Linked DNA regions of Caenorhabditis elegans. The protein of the gene in region 2 purifies or fractionates together with the protein of the main gene of each other region. This does not show direct contact. Each region holds a gene or a part of one and is shown on either strand. Other genes may lie near its edges. The genes, in order: unc-16 and jnk-1.

Region 1 (10,652 bases), on a different chromosome or scaffold from region 2:
TGGGCGGAGCGTTTCTAATGACCATGGAGCGCGTTTCCACACCGATTTCCAAAGGCTCTTTTTCTACGTACCCATAATAAATATTATTTTGTAACGCAACTTAAAAAGGTTAGTTTCAAAAAAAGATCAAACCAAGTCTCTGGGAAAATGCGGGTGCATAAAATGATCGGATTCCAAATGTTTGTTGATTTTATGTATAGTTAAAGCTGTTTATAAGTGCGTTCATTATGAATCTAGGTGTTGAGTGAGTGCAATTATAAGTTCTATTTAGAGAGAGATAGAGAGTTCAACAGATTGGTCTTCGAAGCATCACAGGATGAGAGGGTGTTACCGGGAGAGATGAATCCTAGAAAAAAGAAAAAACAACACCATTCATACTACGTGCCCAACAAAAAATAATCTCTACTCTTCAACAACTAACATGTCTGGGTCGATATACTCCACAGAGCGAGTCATCTTGCCGCGCGATGAGCTTGCACGATTTCCCCGCGACGATGCGGGTGGGGTCACTGAATCACCCAGGAGACTTGAGAAACTGTAAAAAGAGAAAAGGATCAAGAAGCACGAATCGGCGATAAATTAGCTAACAATTCCCAAATTCCGCCAGATTTCTTCTGATTCACATTCTGCTGCTGTTGTTGCATCTTCTTTGCTCGTTGCATTTCAGTCCACTTGATAGACTCTTCGAGTTCCATAAGCTTTTCTTTGTATGCATTTCGATCCATAAGAACACGCTGCATTTCTGAACGAGTGAATCGTTTTCGCATTGCCATTGGAACATCATCCTGAAAGCATTTTTTAAAAAATTCAGAAACAATCAAAAATCCCACTTTTAAAAAGAGATTTGTTCAAATGAATTGTGGATAAACTTTAAAAAATTAGATTTTTCAATCTTCCTCGATTTTTTGATTTTTAGTGGTATTTTGGAATCTAGGGCACTCTTTTTGGAATTTTTGAAGCAAAATATATTTTTTACTTCTAAATTTTAAAAAATCAAACCTCTTCTTGTTCATTTTCCTTCTCCATAAGCTTCTGCTTGAGCGTCTTAATCTCCTCCTCATGCTTCGTAATTTGCTCCTGCATCTTCTCACTGACCATTTGTCGGCTCAGATTCTCATCTCTCAGAATCATATTCTCACTGTTCAGCTCATCGACTTGATTTATAAGATCGTTCTTGACAATGTTCAACGCGTTTTTCATATCGAGAAGCTCGGAATTCTCCTTGATCAGGTTCTCGACTTCACGGCCCATTCCTTAAAGAATAAAAGTTGAAAAATCGTGTTGGAAAGTCATTCGATAACACAGGGTAAGCGCTTGCATGAAAATCTTCGAGTTTAAATATATACTAATTAATAAATTTAATAAATATTCTGAATTAATAGCGAGGAAGATTCTCATAAACTATCAATTGCATGCTGTTTTTTAATGTCTCTGTGATGAAACGGAATAAATTTCGGAAAAAATAGTGACGAAACCAATTGAGTGAAACATAAATATATGTGAGTTTAATTTTAATTTCAATTTTAAACTTTTTAATATAAAACAAGTGCTTCAAAACACAATCACGACATTGTTTTTGCTTTAACTTACCAATGAACGTGTCGTTAACTGTAAAAATAGAGAATGTTAAATCAAAAAAAGAGAGAGAGATGGAGATATATATAGAATCGATTATGCAAAACTCAAAAAAAAATGGCCAGCGCTCATGCACATGCTCCAAACTACGTGTGTTCCCTACCCAAACTTCCATCGTCCGAAGTGTCATCATCGTCGAGCATTTCATTTGGTCGATGTCTTCGTGGTATTAATCCAAGACCATTCCAATCCGATTCGTCATCTGACAAAACACAAAAGGCACATCAAGTAAATACAATACAACATCTAGTTTTTAGGTTGAAACCAAAATTTTGAGGGAATAGCGACTAAGTTGATAGACATTCAGAAATTTCAAAAATCACGCCACGCCCAAGGTCCGACATCTACCGGGTTCCGCCTCTCACGCTAGCAGTGAGCTCAGATAAGATGAGAGGCAAAACCATTTTATGGGTGTGACCTAATTTTTAAATATTGTGTGTACACACTTACTGTGTCTTTAGAGGGTACCGAGATTTTGAAAAAGCTTTCACGTGTTTTCTCTACAACATAATCTATATAAAAGGTGCACGGGGAAAGTGAAAAAATGCATGCATTGTAGACTTCAGTGTGGTGAAATACCGGACAAAAGCTGGCCGAAAGCAAGCAAGAACAAGGACCACAAGGACCAATACAACATTGAAAACTTAAAAATTTACCCGCTGAGGCGAACTCTGCTGGATCCACTAGATTTCCTGTCAAATTATGTGTGGATAATCGATAAATTGTCAAAAATGAAAAAAAGTCCCCGTGTTTGTGTGATTTGAAGAAGAAATTAGGTTAGTGTGAAAAAAAATGAAACGACACACTCTAATTAGTGATGGACAATAGATAAATTAGACGATTTCACTTGATTTTTAATTATTAAATACAAAAAAACCAACCTGTGAGATCAGCACCGAGCAAATCGTTATTTTCCTTGGGATCTCTGAAAAATTGGAATAGATTTCAAAACTCTTATATAAATTCCTAATAAAATTTTAAAATCATAATTAACTTACACAGAAGTTGTCTCGTCAGCTTCTTCCTCTTCTGATTGTTTCGGTGAAGCAGCTTCTCGTTTAGGAGTCGGCTCTTTGGTTGTAATTGGTGAAGTCAACGCATCAGCAGATGATTGTGGAATATCCCTGGGTGATGGTTCGATATCTGATGAGAATTCGTCTTGCCAGTCTGGAAAATTAGTATTTTAAGATTTAAAAGAATGAGGGTTGCAATTTCCATTGAGAAAAGGTGCGGAGCGGGTTTTTTTTCACTTTTCAACAGGAAACATCGTACGGAATACAATTAAAAATGGTTTTTTAATGGGAAATTTAAAATTTCTTTCCAACTGAACTGGTTTATTTAAGCCAAAAAGGTCTAAAAATTGAGCAATAAACCAATGCAGTTGGAAAATAAGTGAATTTACAGAAAAAAATCCGTTGGAAATTTCCTGTTAAAAAAAGTTTTAAAAAAACGCGCGGCGGTTGCGAAAACCCGTGCCGCACCTTTGCAGCATGGAAATCGGAAGAAAACTGGCATACCAATAAAGGTTAGTTGAGGATTCGAGTTCATGTTAGTTAAAAATTATCGGAAATAAATAAATAAACTAAATTTTGCGATATATAGAATTTTTTGTATTTTTACATATTTGTGAAGGGTCGCGTAAAAAACTCACCTTCGTTTGTGATGTGATTTGCAAGATTAACATCCATCGTGGTTGATTGTGTCATATGAGCAGAAATAAGATCAGATACTCCACGAATTGATGATGCATCCACAGAAGCAGCCATGCCCATTCTGTAATTTAAATAATATCTTTTAAAAATTAAAATTTTGATTTTAGGGGACCGAACCAAGTTATTAAAGGTGGAAGAAGTGTTTGCCTAACAAAATTCTTTTTGGAAAATGATAAAATTGGGAATTTTGCTTTAAATTGTATATCGTAATGAGCGAATTTATACAATTTTTTTAAACAATAAATATAATTGAAGCATTTTCAAAGATCTATATCGTTTGCGGGAATTTAACAACAAATATCGCATTTTTTGCAAAATTGGAGAAAACATAAAAATTTAGAAAATTTTTTTAAACAGTAATTATGATCTCTTTTCTGACATTTAGAGCAGTGATAAAAAATTTGGAAAATCAAGAAAATAAAATAAATTCAAAAAAATTGGTGATTTTTATTTCTTCATGCGCTTCAAAATTTGGAGTGAAGTGGAGGATAACCAAATCGAAAAAAAATCAAAAATTTGAAAAATAAAAAAACCTTCCCGAAAAATAACAAAAATTCCAGACACAAAACTCACAATGACAAATTACTTTGATCACCACTCTTATGTAAGCGATGTGATATTGGAAACCAACTACAAACAACGACACAACAGTCAAATATTAATCACTTTTTTAAATTTAATTAAATTAAACTTACTTGTTTCGAAGTTGCATATTTGGCAATGGCATATTCTGCATTAATTCGAATTTTTCACTTCCCATTAGATATTTTGTACGTTCCATGTGATCTACATGGGTTCGTAATAGAGTATTATATCGTTCGTGGAGACGATCGAATTCGAGCTTTTGTTCCACTTCACGTTCTTCCAGACGACTGGCTGAAAAATAATACTTTTTTTAAAAATTTATCCAAGAAAAACACAAGAGTTAATAATTGAGGTGACAATTAACTAACTGTAACAAACTAACCGTGATCAGTGGCATTTTTGGCTTTCAACTCGAGCATCCTCATTATTGATTCAAGTGACTCTATCTTTTTGTCCAACTCTTTATTCTGACCAATCAACGTGTCTTCTATTTCAATATATTTCTGTTCTGTCTGCTTTCGAAGTGCTTTTTCACGTTCATATTGTGTCTGAAGCTGTTCATTGTCCTCTTTGAGCATTTCAAGTTCTGCAGTCTGCTCGTCACGTTCCAAATAGGCAAGATCCAATGCTTCGAGCACATTTACAACCAATGGCATCAGAGTCTGAAAATGTTTAGTTTATTGAATGATAATAGAGAAAGAGAGAAGAAAATTAGCATAAATTTACCTGCTGACTGGTTTAACATACTGAATTTAGTATTGAAGTAGAGTAAAAACATAGAATTTCAATTTCTGATCAAAAAATGGTCTAAAAAGTCCGAATTTCGTAAAAATATCATTTAAAAGTTCTTCAATTAATTATGACGATTCTATGTTTTGAAAAATATTTAACTATGAGCTAAAATCTACAATTTTGCATATTTTTCCGTGCCACAGCGGTCGGAAATTTATTTTCATTCGATTTTCGCTTATTTTGTCGTTTATCTCGTGTTACTTCGTTGAGTTTGGTACATTTGAAGCGATAGGCAACTAAAAATAAGCAAGATCGAAATGATGCTCAATAAAAATTCATTTCCGGCCGTTGCGACACGGAAAAGTTGGCAAAATTGAAGATTTCAGAAGAAAGAAAGCGTTTTTTTTTTCAAAACCATCAGTCTTATTATGAAATCCGGTTGTTTTGGGACATTTTTTGCGAAAACAGCCATTTAAATAAATTTTAAAGTAAAATTCCGAAAAAACTCACTTTCACGCCATCTTCTCCGTGAACTTTTATCATTGTTTCCAACTCTCGATAAATTGCCGAAGCCATTGTCTGCACTTTATCCGACATTGTTCGATGCTCATCTGGTGAGCCGGGGCCGCCGTACACAATCTGAGATAACATTTCTCCCATCAATATCGAATGCAGCATAAAAAAATCCTCCTATTACCCGTCCCAACTGTTTTGTTGTGTCTAGCGACAATCAATAATGAAGAGAGAAGTGCGGAAGAGAAACATAACGGTATTTACTGGCCGAGGAATAGTAGTAGGGGGCGACGATAAGAGAACCGAGATAACTATCGGGAGACGCTGCTGCTGCCACTCGGTTGCAACAATGGTTCATTTGCCACCACTTACCTCAGACGGTGTGCTGCTCGTAATTGAGTCTGCCATCTCATTCACCGGTGACAAATTGCAAGCCATTTTTTCAGTCGTTCTGTCGATTATTGGTCCATGTGAGAGCAAGTTGACGAGACAATTCTACAAATTATGTTGCTTTTGTGCTTTGCAATGAAAAAAGCTATGTAAATAAAGTGCCACTCCTTCGCCGCGGCGACAGAAAATCAATAAAAGAAGGCTGGGCGCATGTGTGAATCTCGTGGATGAGAGAATACGGTAATTGGCGGAAGAGGAGCGTTTTGTGCGTCACGCACTACACGCATGTCGAGTGGGTTTTGCCGTTTTGCGCTTCAGAATTTATTTTTCTATTGAATTCAGAATAAAAACACTTCATTAGAAGTTTTGCATGAATAGAATTTCAATTTGCGCCGCTATTACGAATTTTTATATAAACTCTATCAAAATTATGTGTTTCTTAGGCTATTTTTGCGTCAAAACCACGAATTTAGTGTGACAACATGTGTTAAAACAATGAAAAAACAAATACGAAAGAATCAGTTTATTACGAAATAAATCAACGTTCATCATTATCTTCCTCAGGATATTCCGGGTGGCTCAGGAACGCTAGAAGCACTTGCACCAGAGAAATCATCAGAACAATTCCCACTCCGACCTGAATTGTTGGATTAAAGAGAAAATCATGTCGATTAATATAATTTACATCCAGAAGCACAATGCAGTTTTTAATTGCTGTATGCTCGTGGGGAGCTTTGGCACTGAATGTGTACACGATGAAGAAGATGAGCGAAAGCAACGATGTGACTGGTGCTGGAGCATGATAGATGGCCAACTGAAATTTTTGTAGAATGTAAAATAACTTTCTAAAACTAGGAATTACTTTTCTTTGGCTCATTGCCAACATGCATTTAGATCGACTCAAAAACAACAGAGCGATGAATGTGATGACTGCGAGTACGAGGAAAACGCTACCTGCTGAGAGCTGAAAACGTAGAGTTAGGAACGTCTTTAAGATGAGAATTTACCATCCAAAATGACGCGAGTCCAGATACGTACCCCATTGGAATAGTTCCCTGGAGTAGAACAGTCACACTAATCATCTGAAAACCAAGAAGATTCCCAAATAATCTGCTGAAAACTAGAAACTCACAATATTTGCCACAATGAGTTTGTTCAAAAGCATATTTCTACTTTACAAAGATTTGTAACCGTATAACCCTTTTGCTAGATTTGAATTTAACGAAATGAGTAGGAAATCAAGTTAAAAGTGTTGTCTATTTTATAAATTAAAAGAACGTAGAAAAGGTCTTCACGAAGAAATTTAAAATTTATTCAAAAAAAAAAAATCAGACTTCTTTCTTGGCTTTTTTCTTCGGTTTCGACGAGGATGTTTCAGTTGATCCTCCACATTCTTCTTTGATCGTTTGCATTCCTTCGATACCGTTCAGTTTTTTCATGTCTTCTTTGCCTGAAAATGTGCAAATTTTTATTCTTCAGCATTACTATATTATCCAGATAATTTTGCGATTTTCGTCATGCTAATACGATACCCGGTCTCGATACGGCAAAGTTTTTGATAGATCCAAAGAGGTGTGCGCCTTTAAAGAGTACTGTAATTTCAGATTTTCGTTGTTATGGAATTTGCATCGATTTTTCATAGTTTCAGATAAATAAATAAATATTTAAATATCGAAAAACTAATAAAAGTCTAAAAATTCGAAGTACAGTACACTTTAAAGGCACACACCTTTCAGAATTTAACAATTGTAGCGTCGAGACCGGGAACCGTACTTTCTGGGTAAAAATTGCACAATTTCGCAACAAAAACTAACCTGCAGGTTTACAAACCGCACTTTTTGAATGAAGAACTGTCAGAATCACGAACACGATTGTAGTGATGATTCCGATACCTCCGAAGACAGCCGAAACTATCATTAGCATGCTAGATGGCAAAATAAAGTGCTTTTCACTCATCTTTTTGATGAATGAGCGTTTTTAAAAACTCGAAATGAATAGTTTTGGGTTCCACGTTATTTTTTATTTTTGTAAAAGAAAAAAACCAATCATAATTATAAAAAACAAAACAAGAACAAATTAATTTAATTTGATTGAATTAAATACACGTTCAAATAAATTTCTACCCTCAGATATACATTTTAATGAGTTCTTCTCCAACAGCTTCAGGCTTCATTGCGCCGACATCAGTAATGATCAGTGTCAGAAATTCGGGTGCGGTGTAATCCACATCGGGATGCTCCAATTCTAGGTTGTTTCTCTCAATTACTGATGTTCGATACTGAAATAATGAAAGATCTGATTGAGTTATTTGATATAAATTGATTACTTTGAATTCTTGGGGAATATCGGCCTGGTTGAGTGGGAACTCCCGTACAAACTTGATAGTTTCAGCGCAAACATAGACGGGAACATGCCGTGATTTTGCGATGATACAAACATTAACAGTTCCAATTTTATTGATGATTCCACCGGTTTCCATGACTCCTTCAGCGCCAACTAGAACTGCTTGAATTCTTTCCATGACATATCTTAAAAAATAAAAAATGTATATACGTTTTTCTTATTGTTTTTTATAATTTCCACTCACCCCACACAGCTATCTAGAACTAAAGTAGTTGGAACTCCATTCTTTTTCAATTCTTCAAACACTAGTTTTCCTGAAGCATCCGGTTGCGATTCGGTGACCCAGACATGAAGGTGATATCCACTTTTGTGAGCATCAAGAATAGTTTCCAGAACCACTTTGCTGTATGAGTGTGTCAGAATATTCTAGAAAATACAAAGATTAAAATACATTAAATAGGAATTATTTAAATAGAAAAAAAAACGTACCATATGATGAGTGAAAAATAGACGAGCGCACTTGGAAATTTTGGCTCGAGAACCTCTGACATTCTTTATAAATGAGCGTGCTCGTTGGCGATACAGATCAAGAACTTGAGAAAAATCTTCTTGATCGAGAAGAGCAGCTGGAGCCAGAGAAGTGAATCTGGTGAACAAATCAGCGGCACTTCGAATTGATGTTGAGCTGTAGTCCGTTTTCTCGAGAGCAGCAACTACTTGATTTAGCTCATTTTGAAATTCGGCAACGGTGGTGGCTGTAATTAAGCAAAAAATTAATTGCCTAAATATTCAAATTCAGGAACTTACCGCGACTCCGGTCTAAAACCTCGAGCAGTGTTTCCACTGTGGCTAGACTCGTTGATTTGCTTGGATCGTTTTCAAGTTTTCCACGGAAAGATGAAATAATGCTTTCTTGAACCATGTTAGATGGAAAAAGTCTGCAAAAACAATAATGGAGAACGTTTGTCGTAGAAAGAAGAAATATTTATAGAAAAAATTTAATGAAAAAATAATGATGTAAACGCGCTCTATCGTTACGCAGAGAAGATAAGAGTTAGAGAGTTAGACAGTTTTGATAGTGGCAAATTTAAAAACAAAACATTTTTTTACTTATGTATTTAAAAGGTTTCGTGAAATTTAATTTATTTTCTCAATCTCGAATAAACATTTTAAACATATTTTTTGAGTCAGTCAGTTTACTTTCTACTCTCAACTATTTACGCATCTAAAATCTCCCATTGTGTGGCGAACTAAATAGGATAATAAATAATAATTTTCCTTTTCGAAACTTTTATACTATAATTAATTCCCTCAATTTGCTCCATAATCTCCATTAATTTTCCTCGTGTAATTGCTTCGTAGATCATTTGAATCGCCGCCGTGATACAGTACTATTCGCTAACCTGCACATCTTAAATACCATCGACAATTTTTTAAAAATTCATTTTCCATTTTGTTCATTGATTTCTTGGTTCTTTTTCCATTATTTTTGCCTCAATTTGTGCAAAAAGTGCTGGATATCGAATAATCCACAACGCTTTTCTGTTGTTCTTTCGGTTTTTGGGCCGTTTCTAGATTTTCCTCTCCGTAATACGAATTCTCGTGGGGAAACACGTTTTCCTTGTTCTTTGATTAATTTCTTTTGTACTAACTTTTCGACAAATATTTATTTATACTTTTTACAGAATCAAGCTTGTCCGTTTCGAAAATGGAAGAAGAACCGTACAAAAGAAAGCTAACGAAAGCCGAGAAAAAGGCAAAATATCGAACAGACTACGCCGAACCGTTGAAGTCACGCCGGGAAGTTCTGAAAGCAATTATGAATGGACCCGAGTCTGAGCGGGAGAGAAAAGTTCGAGCCAAAAATCGAGAATTTTTCAACGAGGACTATAGATCAGGTAAACATTTTAAAGTTCTTTTATTATTAAAAACTTTAAAAAACCCTCATTCATAATCTATACATTTAAAGGAGTCAACATCTACGGAATGGCTGTGGATATGATGAAAGCGATGCCGGATAGAGGAAAAACATCGGGACAAAGTTTGGCGGTTTGGTATCTGGAGGATTTTGGAGTTTGGTTAAAAGAGTCGGGACAGGAGACGGAGCTCAGACAGAAATATCTGACTGGAACTATTCAAATAAACGCCTTAGATGTGTGCACAATTGGACAAAAGCAGCTTCTCAGTGAAATCTTCGATATCACCAAAGAGAAATTCACTGAGGACATTACACAGTTGCTAGATGCTGCCATCAAGAAACAAGACTTCTCCGTTGCTGCAGATATGGCTATTCAGTACAATCTTCTACGGGATCATCATTTCGAACATCTTGTTCTTCCATTAATGCTATCTGGCAAAGATCAAACGGCTTATAAATTGATAAGTAACAATGAGAGGATGCAACAGCAGCTTGTAGAGTTTTTTGATCGAATGGTTGGAATCTCAGTGGTTGCCGTTGAAGAGATGCTGAAACCCTACAAGGAAACCAAAATTATGACGATTCCTATGGAGAAATTGACGGGAAAAACGTTGGACAAACTCATTTCGACGATTATCAACAAAAATACTCACGAATACAACTTCTCCAGGGAATTGTCGAAGTTCGCCAAAAACCACTCACAGAATGGGAATCTGAAGGCATTGAAGTTTAATATCAGTGAACGATACGAGAAGGGAAAATCCGATGACAACTATTTCCAGCATATGGTTGAAACTTTTACCAAAGCCGAAGATGTTCGTGAA
Region 2 (13,671 bases):
TGAGCATCCGAATGAATACATTTATAATCTTCTCGTTGTGGTAGATCACAAATATCTGCATTTGGGCATCTTCTAACACCAATTTTCGTCACAAATGTGTCCTTGTAAAAAGAATCAAAATAACATTTAAAAACGATTGGCAAGTAGAAATCTGAGCTTGGAAGGAAGGGACCTATTGAAGAGATAACTGCCAAATTTTTTATTCTGAAAATTTAAGTGATCTGTCTGAAACAGTAGTAAATAGTTAGGCATCAAAAATGTTACCTGTTTATATCATCCTCAATTGCTCTAATATCATCTTCTCGAATTGTCTCATTTAATGGTCCAAACTTTATTTTCCACAAATCCCTTGAATCATTCCTTTTCCCATTTTTATCAACTGGAAGTTGAACATGTACTAATGTTGGACTTTTCACTTGTACACTAAAAAAAAAAATTAATTGAGAATTCATAAACCGGGGTGCTAATACCTCGTTTCAAAACTGACATGTTTGCTATTGTGAATCCACGTTGAATTATATGCTTCGGGTCTCACAACGACTTTACCACGTTTCACAGTTTGAGAAGAACGAAGACTTTGTACAAGTTCTGTGAAGCTGAACTCGGTAAGGGTTGATGCTGAATATAAGTATTTATGAAGGAAATAAGTATTAAAAAAAAGTAGCAATACCTTTGACAAACTCATGCTCCCTCCTTCCATAAAATAAATAGTTCTTTCCAGGATTTGCTGCCAGAACTGAATTGAACTCTTCTAAATAAGTTGGATAATTTTTGGGGAACAGGATATCGTCCATATCAAAGAATGCAATGTATTCAGCTGCTTCCTTGTATTGAAGAAGACAATCAGTTTGCGCTCCCGCCTGATGCCTCCATTCAACATTTTCGTTCGGCTCATAGTATGGTGTCTTAGTGTTCGAAAATTTCATTCGAAGCCAATAGTCTAGAGTTATGTAACCCTGTCGTTCATATTCTTGCATTAATTGAAAATAAGATTCAATGATTGAAGTGAGATAAATGTGAAGATGCCCGCCAAATCTTGAAGAACAGTTTATTTAATAACTATTAGAAAAAATAATGTGTTTCTACCTATTAGCTGCATGAACATGCATTACAAACATTTGCCACTGTTCGGCAGCAAATTGTGGAGAAATGCATATAATAACAGGCTTTGGTGCACTGTATCGAGCAATTCTAAAAGGTACCTAAAGCTTTTAAAATTCACTTTTTGAATTGTATGATGATTATGGAGTCCATGAAAAAAAAATCAAATTATCAGGTTCGAATTTTCATGGATGTTTTTAATTGAAATTTCCCTTGTCTATCCCTCCCTACTCACCTCAACCGATACTCCTTGTGATTCAATTTTCAGTTTTTCCAAGTTCTCAACTGTATTAGTTCTTGCCATCATTGTGACATATCGACATCTTGAAATACCCTCTGTTTGTGATGTTGCAATTGATTCCACAGAATCTGTCGAATTGTATCCAAGAACCGTAAACGTGTGATTTTTCATACTATAACTGTGCTGATCAATGGCCATCGTAAAAGCTAGTGCATTCTCACCGAGACTGTAAAATGAATAAGAATATTAAATTAATGTCCATCAGTTGCTATAATGCTACTTTATAATTATTTTAATCCAAAAAACTTTTAATCCTTGATTTATTATGAAGATGCTATTTTTTAAAACTTCAAAAAGTGTAAAACTATTTTGAGAATCATAAAACTGAAATATCAAATACTTACGACTTCGAAGTTGGATAATAGTATACAGAATTTATAAAAGCATGAGAAACTGGAAGTTTTTCTCGTGATGTTCCTGATGGATCCGTTAAAATATTTGAAAATGGTTGACTACTCTTCCTTATCAAAATAAAAAGTAGAATAACTGAATTGAATATTAAAATGATTAATAGACATGGCTTATAGTTTATGAACCATCTCATTTTTATACCATAAAATTTCAATTTAGAATAAACTGAACGAATTTCAAAAAAAAATTGAGAGAGACAAGCCGTCAAGCAAATGTTCTAAACGCGGATGTTTATCTTGATATTCACCTTTTCCTGTTCTTTCCGAAAGTGCTGAATGGAAATTGAAGTTGGAAATACGAGATGTTTCCTGAATTTTGAATAAGTTTTGCACGAACTTCAGTGATACTCCTCGATTAGTATAAGATCTTCGTTGCGAGTCTCGATGCATATCAATTAAACTTAAAAGGTCATAAATTAATTTCTAGTTTAAGTTCCTTTTCTTGAAGCCATGCGTTCATACTTTTAAAAACTCAAATTACATTCTACGGTTGAAATTCGAAAAATTTAGCGATTTTGTTTTTATTCTTCAAATTTTGCTTCATATGTACTATACAAAAAACTTCTACTATGTATTAACTTTTCAAATAATCAACTTAGATGTTCTGCAACCTTTTCATTTCAATTCTTCTCCATCCAACTCCATTTCCATAGATCAAAATCTCCGAAATCTTTTTTCCAGAATATCCATGAAAGATAGGTATCTTTCTTGTCTTTCATTGTTTCGAAAGTCTTCCTTGTGCACTCTCACAAAAAGAAGAATATAATTGTTTCAAGATGCATTTTTTCGCAGACCATGAGTAACAACTAAAATATGAAATTTTGATTTACATTTTTTTTCAAAAATCACATGAAAAAGTGATTAGTGGTCACTCAAATACAGTACAGTCATTTGTGTAACATTGGTGAGGATTTAGACACATGTTAGAGAAAGTTGTAATAATAACTGAAATCTGTGGGATTATATGATCTATAGAAAGAGGAGACCGACAAAATATAGTAATCAAGGATCAACCAACACTTCCTCTCTATAAATACGATAATTCAAAACACAAAATGTCTAACTTTTGAAATCAAAAACTCATTGGTTTCTGTTTGAAAGTTGGACTCATCGGTCAAATAATGAACGCAAAATTCCAAGGAAGTTCAAATTTCCTGATCTACATTCTTGTCACTTCTCTTATTGCATTCAAAATCTGTGTTTTCTGTCAACAAACTATTAGTATTGGAGATACTGGTGTAACTTTGGCAACCATGAATAATACAATTCCGGCTAGCAATTTTAGTTGCGGTGCCAATCGGTTCACGGAATTTATTCCACAATTGTTTAACAGCACCGAGTGTAAAAATTTGAGAGGTATGATTTTTAATAATTATGTTTTTGTTTATTGAACTTATCTCAACTAACTACTAAACGTTTCTGACTTTTATGAAACAGTTTTTTATTGAAAAAAATTAAAACATTACTGAAAATTTTTGAAGATAGTTTCAAGATTTTTATCATCTTCGAAAATTAAATTTTCAGATCCAATGAACGTCTGCTGTGAAACCCACGACAACTGCTACAACACTCAAATTGGTAAAGATTTTTGCGATAATGAATTTTGTCTATGTCTAAGTACGGCCACAGAAAAGAATCTTTGCGCAGTGAGTTTTTTTTTTAATTAAAATTTGTTTTTTTTTCATATTGAAAAGTAATCCCATGTTTCAGGTGGATGCTGCCGGATTCTGTGCAGCTGTTCGACTTTTTGGAGAGACTGCGTATAACACCTTGGGAGGACTAGAACCAGTATCTCCCACTATAAATTAAATTTTAAAAAAATCAACATTTGTTAGTATCCATTGTCAAGATGATCACTTTTATTTTTGAAAACAATGTGATTTCAATTTTCAAAATCAATTTAAATGCCCGCATTGTAGGCGGTTGAAGTTGCCAAAGTCATAATGTACATAAATCTGTTTTTTTTTCAACTTTCAAACAATTTATTATCTTTTTTTTAAATAGAAATATGAGCACAGAAAAGGAGACATTTGAAAACAATTACGCGAATGAAAAAACATAGAGATCGAAATGTGACCGTAAAACATGGAATCAGGAATAAATGTCATGGGTTCTTGCGTAATCTGTGAGCTCTCGGAAAATGTGCTCTCTCCATGAATCCACGTTCTGTTCCACATCCATATTATGATCATACGGAAGTGGAGGTGGAGCATATACCTGAAAACATATGAATATGAGTTAATAATATTATAATTCTTTTCGAATTCGATATTACATACGGCTGTGGCTGGCGTATCTTCATTCGCAATTTATGGTTCTTGAGAATGTGAATTATATGCTGTTCTTTTTTAATACTGCGTTATTAATAATTTCATTTATTCTCAAAAGATGTCGGGTAAACAATTGTAAAGAAAATACGATATGCTTACATCTTAGCTTTGAAACAGTAAATTTTTTCTTACCAAATATGCTTCGTGTTATTTTCAAGCTTCAAACAGAAAATAACAAAAAAACATATTTAACAAGAAAAAAAAAATTACTGTTTCAAAGCTAAGATGTATATTGTATTTTTCGTTGCAATTGTTTGTCCCATCACTAATTTAGCGAAAACATTGAATAATTAGTAGATATTATTATTATGCTCAAATTCAATATTGGACGTTCGACCCGGTTGAAATTGACGTGTGACCCTTAGTAGACTCCTCACTCGACCTTTTTAATAATATAAATTCTGTACAGATATCGGAAAAAGATACAAATTTTAAGCTGTTTTTAATAAGGTTACCGCAATATAACCTTTATTTGTTTTCAACAAAATAAAAATAAACGAAAGTGAAAAATTATCACTGTTTCAAAATCTCAATTAACATATGTTTTATTTTGAAATTGATTCAGCAACATTATTCAAATTTTATTAGGGCTGGCCATCCGGAGTCCGGATTTTAGAGTTTTTCTTCCACGCAAAAAATAGGATTTCGGTTTTTGAAAAGTCATTCATATTTAACTGTATATTTTGTGTTGTGTAATAGGAAAAAATCTTACTTCAATTTCATCAAACCAAACATTGACATATGGATGTCTCAGTGCATCATCCACAGAAATCCTTCTTTCCGGATCTATGACTAACATTCGAGAAAGTAAGTCACGAGCTTGAGCACCTAGAAAATGTTTAATTTTTGAAATTATTCTGTTAAAGCATACCTGTAAGTCTTGAGCTGTCAGCTGTCATTGGGAACATGTTATCACTGAAGAGAACTTCAAACGGCGTTGCTTGATATCTGAATTATTTTATTTTAATCGAGTTCATTGTATTAGTAAAATATTTTAATTCATACCTTGGCCGATTTTCCACATAATTTCTGACAGTTGGTTGTAACCGTTCTAAAAATGACCTATCCGGAGTACCCAATTGTTCTGAATTCGGAAATGTTGGCAGTTCGTTTTAATCATTTTCAAAATTACCAATAATCCTAGTCCACTGATCGATATGGTCACCACCCGGGAATAGTACACGTCCACGTATCAGCTCTCCAAATATACACCCAATTGACCAAACATCAACTGAAAAATATTTTGTTTGAAAAATATAACTTTGTTAAATTGCTTAAAGAATTTGAAAATGAATAACGATTATTCTTCTATTTTTAAAACTAGAAAAAACTGAAAAAATGTGTGCTCCGATTTAATATTGGTGTTCATCACTTTAACTCAAAAATCTTACCATTTTCCTTGTAACCCATTCCTAAAATAACTTCCGGTGCCCGATAGTATCTTGTCACAACGTAAGGAGTCATCATGAATGCCTCAATCGCAGTTCGAGCCAATCCGAAATCCAAGATTTTTAGAGTACAATCACTTCGAACGACAATGTTTGATGGTTTCAAATCCTGTAACAATTTGTAGAATAAATATTTGGAAAAAAAAATCTCAGAGGGACAACCCGGTTCAGAATAATCGGTAGCATAAATTTTTTATATGCCTATCTGCCTGAGAGCTTGCCTACTAAAATGCTCCTCTGAATTTTTTTAGTAAAAATAATAATGGGCACAAAAACTTTTGCTCCACAAAAAAGAAGCCATGTTCCGATTTTTCGCAACTTGTGCCTTGGAAGTAGGCACAAGGCGATTATAAGTCGCCTAGATATTCTTTTTTCTGTCAGTCTCACCCTGTGTATAATTCCAGCACTATGTAAATGCCTGATACCACATAACATTTGATAAAGAAGATATGATAATCTCTCATGATCCAAATCCATTTGAATCACTTGACAAAGATTTGCATCCATAAGTTCCATAACAATATAAAGATCGTTGAATTCGTCGAGTTTCTTTTGTGGTGTAAAACAATTCAGAATACCTATGATCTGAAAAATGAGGAATTGAAGTCCAACGTAAAATCTTGAAAAAACTCACATTTTTATGATTTACAAGACTCATGAGTTTTAATTCTCGATAAGCCCTCTTTGCATGTGTCACATTTTGAAATGGCCTTGATAATTTCTTTATGGCAACTTGTTCGTTCCGTACCGTATCAAACGCTGAGCTGAAAAATAATAAATTTGATTTCCAGCATAGTTGAGATTTTTTAACCAAACAATATAGAATCGAGAAAATTTTTGTCTCTTCAAAATCGCTTTCCCATTATACCAACAACAAAATTACTCACCAAACAATTCCCTGAGCACCAGACCCGATCAACCTGAGATTTTGATATCGTTTGAGAACAACCATCTGCGCTTCCCCTATTGTCACCTGAAACATATCGAGATCTTCAACCAAACTGTTAAAATTGTACTCACCGAATAATAGTTTTCGGGAACATGAATAGAGGATGGTTCCATGAGAATTCCTCCTCCTGTTCCACTGTTTATGTGATGACGAACAGGACTGTACACTGATTGGCAACTATCCAAAGAGACAGCGTCGTCGTCTCGACCAGATGATGATGGAACCAGCCACTGAAAATAGGGAATAAAGATATAGTTAGATATTGATGATTTTGTTTTAAAAACTGTTATTTCTGACTATTGAGTGACCATCAACATTTGATAAAACAGTTGCGAAGTTTTCTGAAACCGTAAGCAACTTCGCCTCAGTTCGTGTTTTGTGAACAAAATTTCTCTGTTTCAAGGACTTTTCTTGAATTTTGTCAATTCTGCCAGTAATGTTCATATATTTTCAAAAAATTTCATAAAAATTTAACGAAACTAATGATAATTTGAACTATGAGCTGATAAATTTGCAAACTCAAGTGTCTCTAAAATAGAAAATACGGCTTATAAAACATCAGTGGTAGTGCCCATTTTTAAAAGACAAAATTTCAATTTCATGCTTTTGAGTTTTAGTCAACTCAAACTTAAACTCACATTCCCAACGGACTCGATAAAATTGTTGAGGTGTCCACGGGTTCCTCGAATGATTGATGATATCGAGGAGGATGCGAGCAGAGTGTTGTGATCCTCTTCCACGCTTCTACCTGAAAATCGGATAAATTTAAATGCCATTACAGTGAAAACAGTGAAATGTAGAAACTTCTCGAAGGATACAAAAACGATTTCCTCAAAAATACTCGAACACAAACAATTATTTTGGTATTAAATTTAGACTTTCACTATCAAAATTATGATTTGAAAGAAAGCAATTTGTTGAAAAAAATATTTGGAAAATAAAATATTTGAAACAGAGAAAAATGTGATATTAGATGCATTACTAAAAATCTAATTAACTCAGCCGCATATTAACGGGATCTATGTATTTACCCAAAAACCAATCCAGAAATCTTTTTTTTTTCAAAAAACCCAGACTCTTTGCTAGCTTCAAAAGAAATGTATAAATAAATGGAGACTATTTATCCATTTTTTGGTGTCTTTTTCACATTCAGCACACACAATGCACTTTTCGACTCTTTTTTTTTGCTGTCCGTTTGGATGTCTTTTTCTGTCCAATTTGGAGCAGAGACAAAATTTAGAGAAAATACACAAGATGGAAGGAAGACGCAGAGTTAGAAAGAACACAATTTCACTGATGAGGTTATATTGGGGCTAAGGGAAAAGAGGGCTCTGAAGGGAACATAAGATGGTCGGGGTGGAAAAGCGGAAAGGATTATTTAGGTCAGAAAAGGAAGAAACACGGAAATTAAAGATGAAGAGGGTACTACTCGTTAGAGTGTTACATTCATTTGTCGGAAAACTTTTTAGAACAGAAATAAGGGGAATATTCAAGAATCAAACCTATTTTCAAAATTTAACTGTTTCATAAAATTATCAAAAGTCTACTGATAATGACCTCGATATTGTTGTATTGCACTAAAGGGTATTTTTTTTGGTGACAACTTAAAATTTTCAACTAGTTTCAAAAGGACAAATATTCTAAATTAGTCCTTTCTAGCAAAGTTATGATCAAAACAGTTTAGCTAAATTTTCAAAAAAAAAACCTCTAACTTCTTGATTCACAGAAGCTCTCCTCACTTCAAAACCAAAAAATTGTCATAATTTTCAACTTCTAGTGATTTATAATAACAACTTTAACAAGAAAAAAACTATAAGTTGGGGTGGATGTACTAGTCGATGGGGTTGGTTGCGAGGGTCTCAGTGGTGGTTGTGTGTCTCCGGAGCTCTCCGGAGCAGTGGCGGCGGTCCTTCTCTACGTCTCCGTCGTCTTTCCGTCGTCATTCTGTGCAAAACGGGGCCGCGCCTTTCCTATATCGATTTTTGTGTTTAGAAGACTTTGAGAATGGGGTAGAAGGGGGCACAAGAAGGACGTCTTTTCGATTTGTGAATGAAAGTGAGGAAAGAAAAAGAAGCAAAAACATAGAAAGAGAGAGAAAGAGGAAGATGTTGAGCATGTTTGTGGAAGAGAAGCTACCAACGTAGAATATGGTACCCATGGGACCATAAATTATAATAGAAACGGAAAAGACAAAAAGAAGAGGAAGAAGAAGTTAAGAGGCGTAAAGCATATGGAACAGAACTGAAAAGACACGACTTTGTGACGTCATTGTCGAGGGTTTGAGACTTTTGTTGTGACGAGTTCAAAATTTTATTTTAAATAAAAATATCTAGATTTCGAGAAGTAACTGTCGCGTTTGAGAATGAAATACAATTTTTAACACTTTGGTACGAGTCGCTCTGCTGCAAGTTCAAAAAAGTGTATTTCGATTAAACGAGCGAAAATGCTCAATTTGTTTATTTGCTCACTAAAACAATTGTTCTATCTAAATATACTCAGAATGAGCCAAAAGACCATCAGTACAAAATTCAAAAATTTTTTAAATTCAAAATTTTTTAAAATTTTTTTCAGATATTTAAAAATTTGTTGCATATCTGTAATTCCACAATTAAAAATAAATTGAATTAATTATATTGTGCATTTAAATGGATATCCCATATTAATAACTTTTGCGATTTTTTAAATGGAAATTTTGTGACCCGCTAATTTAGAAAGTGTATATTATTAACTTGGTCAAGAAACTATACTTTCTTGTTGCTTTTCTAGAACTAGCTGCTAATTTAGTGCTACCTCAACTTTTTAATACAATTTTGAAATGTTATATTGAAATTTTTATTGGTTCATATTTAAATTAAAGAGAAGGTAATACATGTAAAATGTAGTTCATATTACTTACAGTGGCATGTAAAAAACACTGAAAAAATCCTTTAAAAATGTGAAAAAAGAGCTAGTAATTTTTAATTTGAATTCCCACATTTCCAGCCACTTTACTCAATTTTATTAGTCCCACAATTATTGATGTTAACGGGTTTTACAGGCTTTTCTTTTGGTTTAGTCATAAATTTCAGAATTTCCCTGTTGAGTTAAATTTGATTAAATCTTAATTTAAAAAAACTGATTCCTAATTAAAAAAAGACACAGTTTTCCCAAATTTCAATTTTGCAAAAAAAACAATTAACTTTCGTAGATAAAAAAGAAGCTAGAATAATATTTTGCAAAAATTTAAAAACAAACCTGGATGTGACGGATACGATGATGTTGTGGATAATCGTTCCTCCATGTGCACAGGATCACACACTTTAACTTGCTGATGGTTCTGAAAATATTATTATACGTATTCATTGGTGGAAATTGCAAAAAGCTGATAGTGGCTAATTTAAGAACGGTTCAAATTAGCGAGAATCTCATTAATTAATTTTAACCAGCTTCTAGAAAAACAAAACTGAACAGGGAAAAAAAATTGCGGACACCAAAATAAAGAATAGAAAAAATGAAAATGTTGAGGAAATGGAAACTATTTTCCAGTTAGAATACATTGCAATTGAGGGCAGAAAAATTGAAATTTGAGAATTCGTGTTGAAATCTCGAATTCCATTTTCCCGTAAAATGGTCACTTGTTGTTTTCCAGAAAATGAAAAAAAGTACATATTTCAATATTAATTTTAAAAACACCACTAAAAACTTACTTCTGCAGTAATTTTTTTTAAAAAATTTCAGGGCGGTTTAAGTTTAAAGGTTTTTTTCTGTACTTTGTATTATGTTTAGTTATTATTAAAATCACTTTTCCTTCTGTATGTACTGAACTCTCCATTTTTTTCAAAAGACTAAATGGAAATCACTAACTAAATAAATATGTGAAACATTTTAAAGACTACGTGAAACATTTTAAAGCCACTTGCCACTTTTCCGAAGTCTTCTAAGACTTCTAAACCTTTTCTAGTATTTGCTCCCTAATATATTCTCAAAAGTGTAAAGAGCGGGAGTTGTCGTCAAAGTTCTCAAAAGGATTCCCGATGCAGTAGAGTAGCCAATTGGGGCTCTCATGTCAGTCACATGGGCGGCAGATTTGGTGATGAGAAGAAGAAGAAGAACTTGAGAATAATGAGACGCAGGCTTTGAAAGTTCGTCCTTTCTGTGGATGGAGGACAAGGATTCAAGCAAAGAATTGGAATTTAATTTAGAAAATGTGATGATGGAGAAGGGAAAGAAAGAATTGGAGGGACAAGGTTGAAGGCAACCGGGACATGTTTGAAACTAAGGAGCGCTTCAAAAAAATGGAAAAATCATTCGATTTTTTTCAAAACAAAAAATTGAAAGTTTACTGAAGCTTTTTTTTGGAAAAGCTATGAAAACAGCGGATTTTCAATTTATTTTTATTTTTTCACACGATTCTTTGTTTTCTTTCTACAAGAAGTTGAACTCTAATTTGAACCTTACCAAAAGACATCTTTTTCTGTTTTTATATTGTGATATTTCTGAATTTTGGGTATTTCGAAGCAAAATCAAAACGGTGAATAATTTTGAATGATAATGTATTTTCACTAACTTGAATGAACCAAAATGAAAAAAAATGATCACGCAAAAATAGGTATCTCGATTTTTTTTGTATGAGATCCGTCTCTTAGGCAACCGTGCTTTTCTTTACAAATTCAATTATTCATACTTGTTTATTTAGGTAGTATAGAACGACAATTTGAATCACATTATGCATATGTATAACTGGTTTAAAATAAAGAAGAGAGGTTTTTAAATGCACTTTTTCAAAAATAAATTTGAGGTTTGATGAAAAGTTTTCAACTTATTCGCTTGGCTTAAAATTATCAGATTAAAAAAAAAATTTCAAAGTTTTGGAAGATTGACCAATTTTTCAAATAAGGCTTCACAAATGTTAAAATACAAACGTAATGAATGTTTTAATTTTTTTAAAACTTTTTTTTCGGTTGCCGAAATTATGATAGGAAAACTTAACAAATGCCAATTTTTGTTTATAGATAAATTCATATAGCTATTTTTCTGAATAGTTTCACTCTGATAAATTGGTATTTCAGAACTATAAAGATAGCTTGATTTATTTTCTGGACTGGTGAGATAACTTTAAGTATGGACGTTCAAGTTATTATATAGTCAATTATATTTGTAAGAAAATGAAAAATTAAATATAACAACCGATGATAACGCCAGAAAAACAATCATAGTGAATGTCGCTACTTGAAAATTAAAACAGTACAACATCCATTTGAAAATGGACACTGAAAAATAACGATATCTACTATTTTTTCCTGTTTCATTGAATTTTCTTCTACTGTTTTGTTATCTGAAGAATTTTCCAGTTCTAAGTTAGTGGTGCATAAGAGAATGAATGATTATTTGATTTTTAAAGTAAAATTATTATTCAAACCTAGCCGCCAAATGACTATGTTTCTTTTTGAAAAACATTTTAAAAGTGTAATTACTATAATTGCACTAAAATTCAATATTTAACTTTATCCGGGAAATACTTTTACACGATTAAACGGATAGGGAATATTCTTAAATTCTATTATAATGCTAAATCAAATAAGTTTTCCATAATGATGGATACCTGATAGAATATTCAATAAATAATTCTTTGATCCGAAAGTGTATCCAAATGGATAAAAGTCTAAAAGAAGAGCATTCAAAGGGAGAAATCGGAAATGAGAAAACTAGTGTGAAAAGTGTGTGTGGAAAATATTCCGATTATACTAATGCATATGCATGAAAATTTAGTTAGTTAGTGGGATCATGAGAAGATTATCATCGGAAGAAGACTATCAAGGGTACAGGATTAGCAATCCAATGGCAAAAAAAAAGAAGAAACGGCTTCAAAGCTCAGAGATTTCAGTGCTCAGGGAGCCGGAAAACTCACGGAAAGCACCTATTGACATGCTATGTACTTGAAAAATGGCTAGAAGGTTGAAATTGAATAGAGCGGGAAAAAAGAAGAAGAAGAAGGATATTTGAATTTCGCGCCTTTTCAAGAAGTTTAGACATTCAAAAAATGAGAAAAGCAGAAAGTTTTCGTCGTTTCCTCTTTTTGGGTGGCACTTCTTCTCCTTCTTCCTCTCATCCCATTCGTCATCACTACTGGATTATATATTCAAAGAGAATGTGAAAAGATTATGAAAAATAGAGAGACGGAGAGATAAAAATAAAGTTTTTCGGAAAAAAAAGGAGTGAGCACAGGAGGACGCATTTTTGAACAGCTTCACTTTTTCAGACTTTTTTGTTGAAAGTAAAGAGAAACAGGAGATGGAAGTTTTTCCGTAGAAAGAGTCTGTGGGAATTATGACGTTGGTTGGTTTTGTGGTTTACTTGAATCATCTATTATTCAGGGATCTAGAGAAATATTCAGAAATGTTTAAAATTCTGTGAGAAAATTTGAAAATTACTGCAAAACGGTGGTTTATCACTATATTATAGTGTTGTATTGTCTTATTCTGCTCTAATCAGGTCATACATGGTAAGACACATATAATAAAGTATTGGAGAAATTTCAATCAAATTTTATTGAAAAACTTTAAAGCCCTTAGATAGAAGCGAAGCCAATTATCGATGATCGCAGTTCATTCAAATTATTTCAAATTCCTAAAAACTATCTTTACTTTGGAAAATTATCGACATCATTTCTAGATTCAAGATTTCTCATTTTTCAAGATAATTAAATTGTATTTTGGATTATATTGTTACTATTATGACTTAATTTTTAAGATTTTCGACAATCGGCATTTTGGGAATTATTGAGTTCAATTTAAAAAAAAAACTCAAAAAATGAGCAAAAAAACGAATTTCTACTGTAGCAAATGTTTGATGAAATCAATGAATTCGGTGAAAAAATTCAATTTATTCCCCACCTCAAAAAAAATCAAAAAAAATCTGAAGAGTTTTATCTTTCTTTCCATGTTTTGGAAATGTTTCGATAATTCGGAAATCGGCCCTTTTGGCAACAGCCGAATCTTAAAATGTTCGGTAATTGAAAATTTTCGAATTATCGAATTATTTTCATTATTAAAATGTGTAAAACAAGTTAATGAAAAAATTCTACTAATAATACTAATAGAACTAATAGATAATAATAGATTCTACTAATAAAAATACAAAATTGAAACAGTAA

The links.
Region 1: the proteins of jnk-1 (region 2) and unc-16 purify together in Caenorhabditis elegans (affinity purification with western blotting, with the first as the bait; one study listed by BioGRID). This does not show direct contact.

What each region holds. Positions count from the first base shown.
Region 1 is NC_003281.10:9,541,322-9,551,973, reverse strand, and holds the start of unc-16 (JNK-interacting protein), read right to left. Parts: upstream 5,680-10,652; 5' UTR 5,616-5,679; coding exon 5,550-5,615; intron 5,304-5,549; coding exon 5,175-5,303; intron 4,595-5,174; coding exon 4,315-4,594; intron 4,224-4,314; coding exon 4,043-4,223; intron 3,978-4,042; coding exon of another isoform or gene 3,921-3,977; intron 3,409-3,920; coding exon 3,287-3,408; intron 3,184-3,286; coding exon of another isoform or gene 3,153-3,183; intron 2,803-3,152; coding exon 2,634-2,802; intron 2,561-2,633; coding exon 2,517-2,560; intron 2,328-2,516; coding exon of another isoform or gene 2,292-2,327; intron 1,838-2,291; coding exon 1,739-1,837; intron 1,609-1,738; coding exon of another isoform or gene 1,591-1,608; intron 1,254-1,590; coding exon 1,000-1,253; intron 786-999; coding exon 589-785; intron 536-588; coding exon 422-535; intron 347-421; coding exon of another isoform or gene 328-346; exon of another isoform or gene 1-327. Other genes in the region: ZK1098.12 (DUF2975 domain-containing protein), read right to left, coding at 6,106-6,204, 6,253-6,381, 6,430-6,531, 6,575-6,649, 6,700-6,732; ZK1098.9 (uncharacterized protein), read right to left, coding at 6,896-7,017, 7,382-7,523; eif-2Balpha (Translation initiation factor eIF2B subunit alpha), read right to left, coding at 7,693-7,845, 7,894-8,095, 8,155-8,336, 8,400-8,665, 8,718-8,832; Exonuclease mut-7, read left to right, coding at 9,619-9,808, 9,880-10,652. UniProt on the Caenorhabditis elegans protein: The JNK-interacting protein (JIP) group of scaffold proteins selectively mediates JNK signaling by aggregating specific components of the MAPK cascade to form a functional JNK signaling module.
Region 2 is NC_003282.8:6,953,825-6,967,495, reverse strand, and holds jnk-1 (Stress-activated protein kinase jnk-1), read right to left. Parts: upstream 9,856-13,671; 5' UTR 9,820-9,855; coding exon 9,774-9,819; intron 8,514-9,773; exon of another isoform or gene 8,376-8,513; intron 8,129-8,375; exon of another isoform or gene 8,105-8,128; intron 7,288-8,104; coding exon 7,178-7,287; intron 6,770-7,177; coding exon 6,611-6,769; intron 6,564-6,610; coding exon 6,478-6,563; intron 6,355-6,477; coding exon 6,225-6,354; intron 6,176-6,224; coding exon 5,978-6,175; intron 5,700-5,977; coding exon 5,534-5,699; intron 5,374-5,533; coding exon 5,275-5,373; intron 5,227-5,274; coding exon 5,148-5,226; intron 5,091-5,147; coding exon 5,014-5,090; intron 4,971-5,013; coding exon 4,855-4,970; exon of another isoform or gene 4,030-4,854; coding exon 3,904-4,029; 3' UTR 3,777-3,903; downstream 1-3,776. Other genes in the region: gtnt-54 (Glycosyltransferase family 92 protein ZK381.2), read right to left, coding at 1-204, 265-423, 471-618, 671-1,035, 1,087-1,202, 1,337-1,568, 1,747-1,946; B0478.3 (uncharacterized protein), read left to right, coding at 2,934-3,168, 3,337-3,458, 3,523-3,621. UniProt on the Caenorhabditis elegans protein: Serine/threonine-protein kinase which responds to activation by environmental stress by phosphorylating a number of transcription factors such as daf-16, and thus regulates transcriptional activity.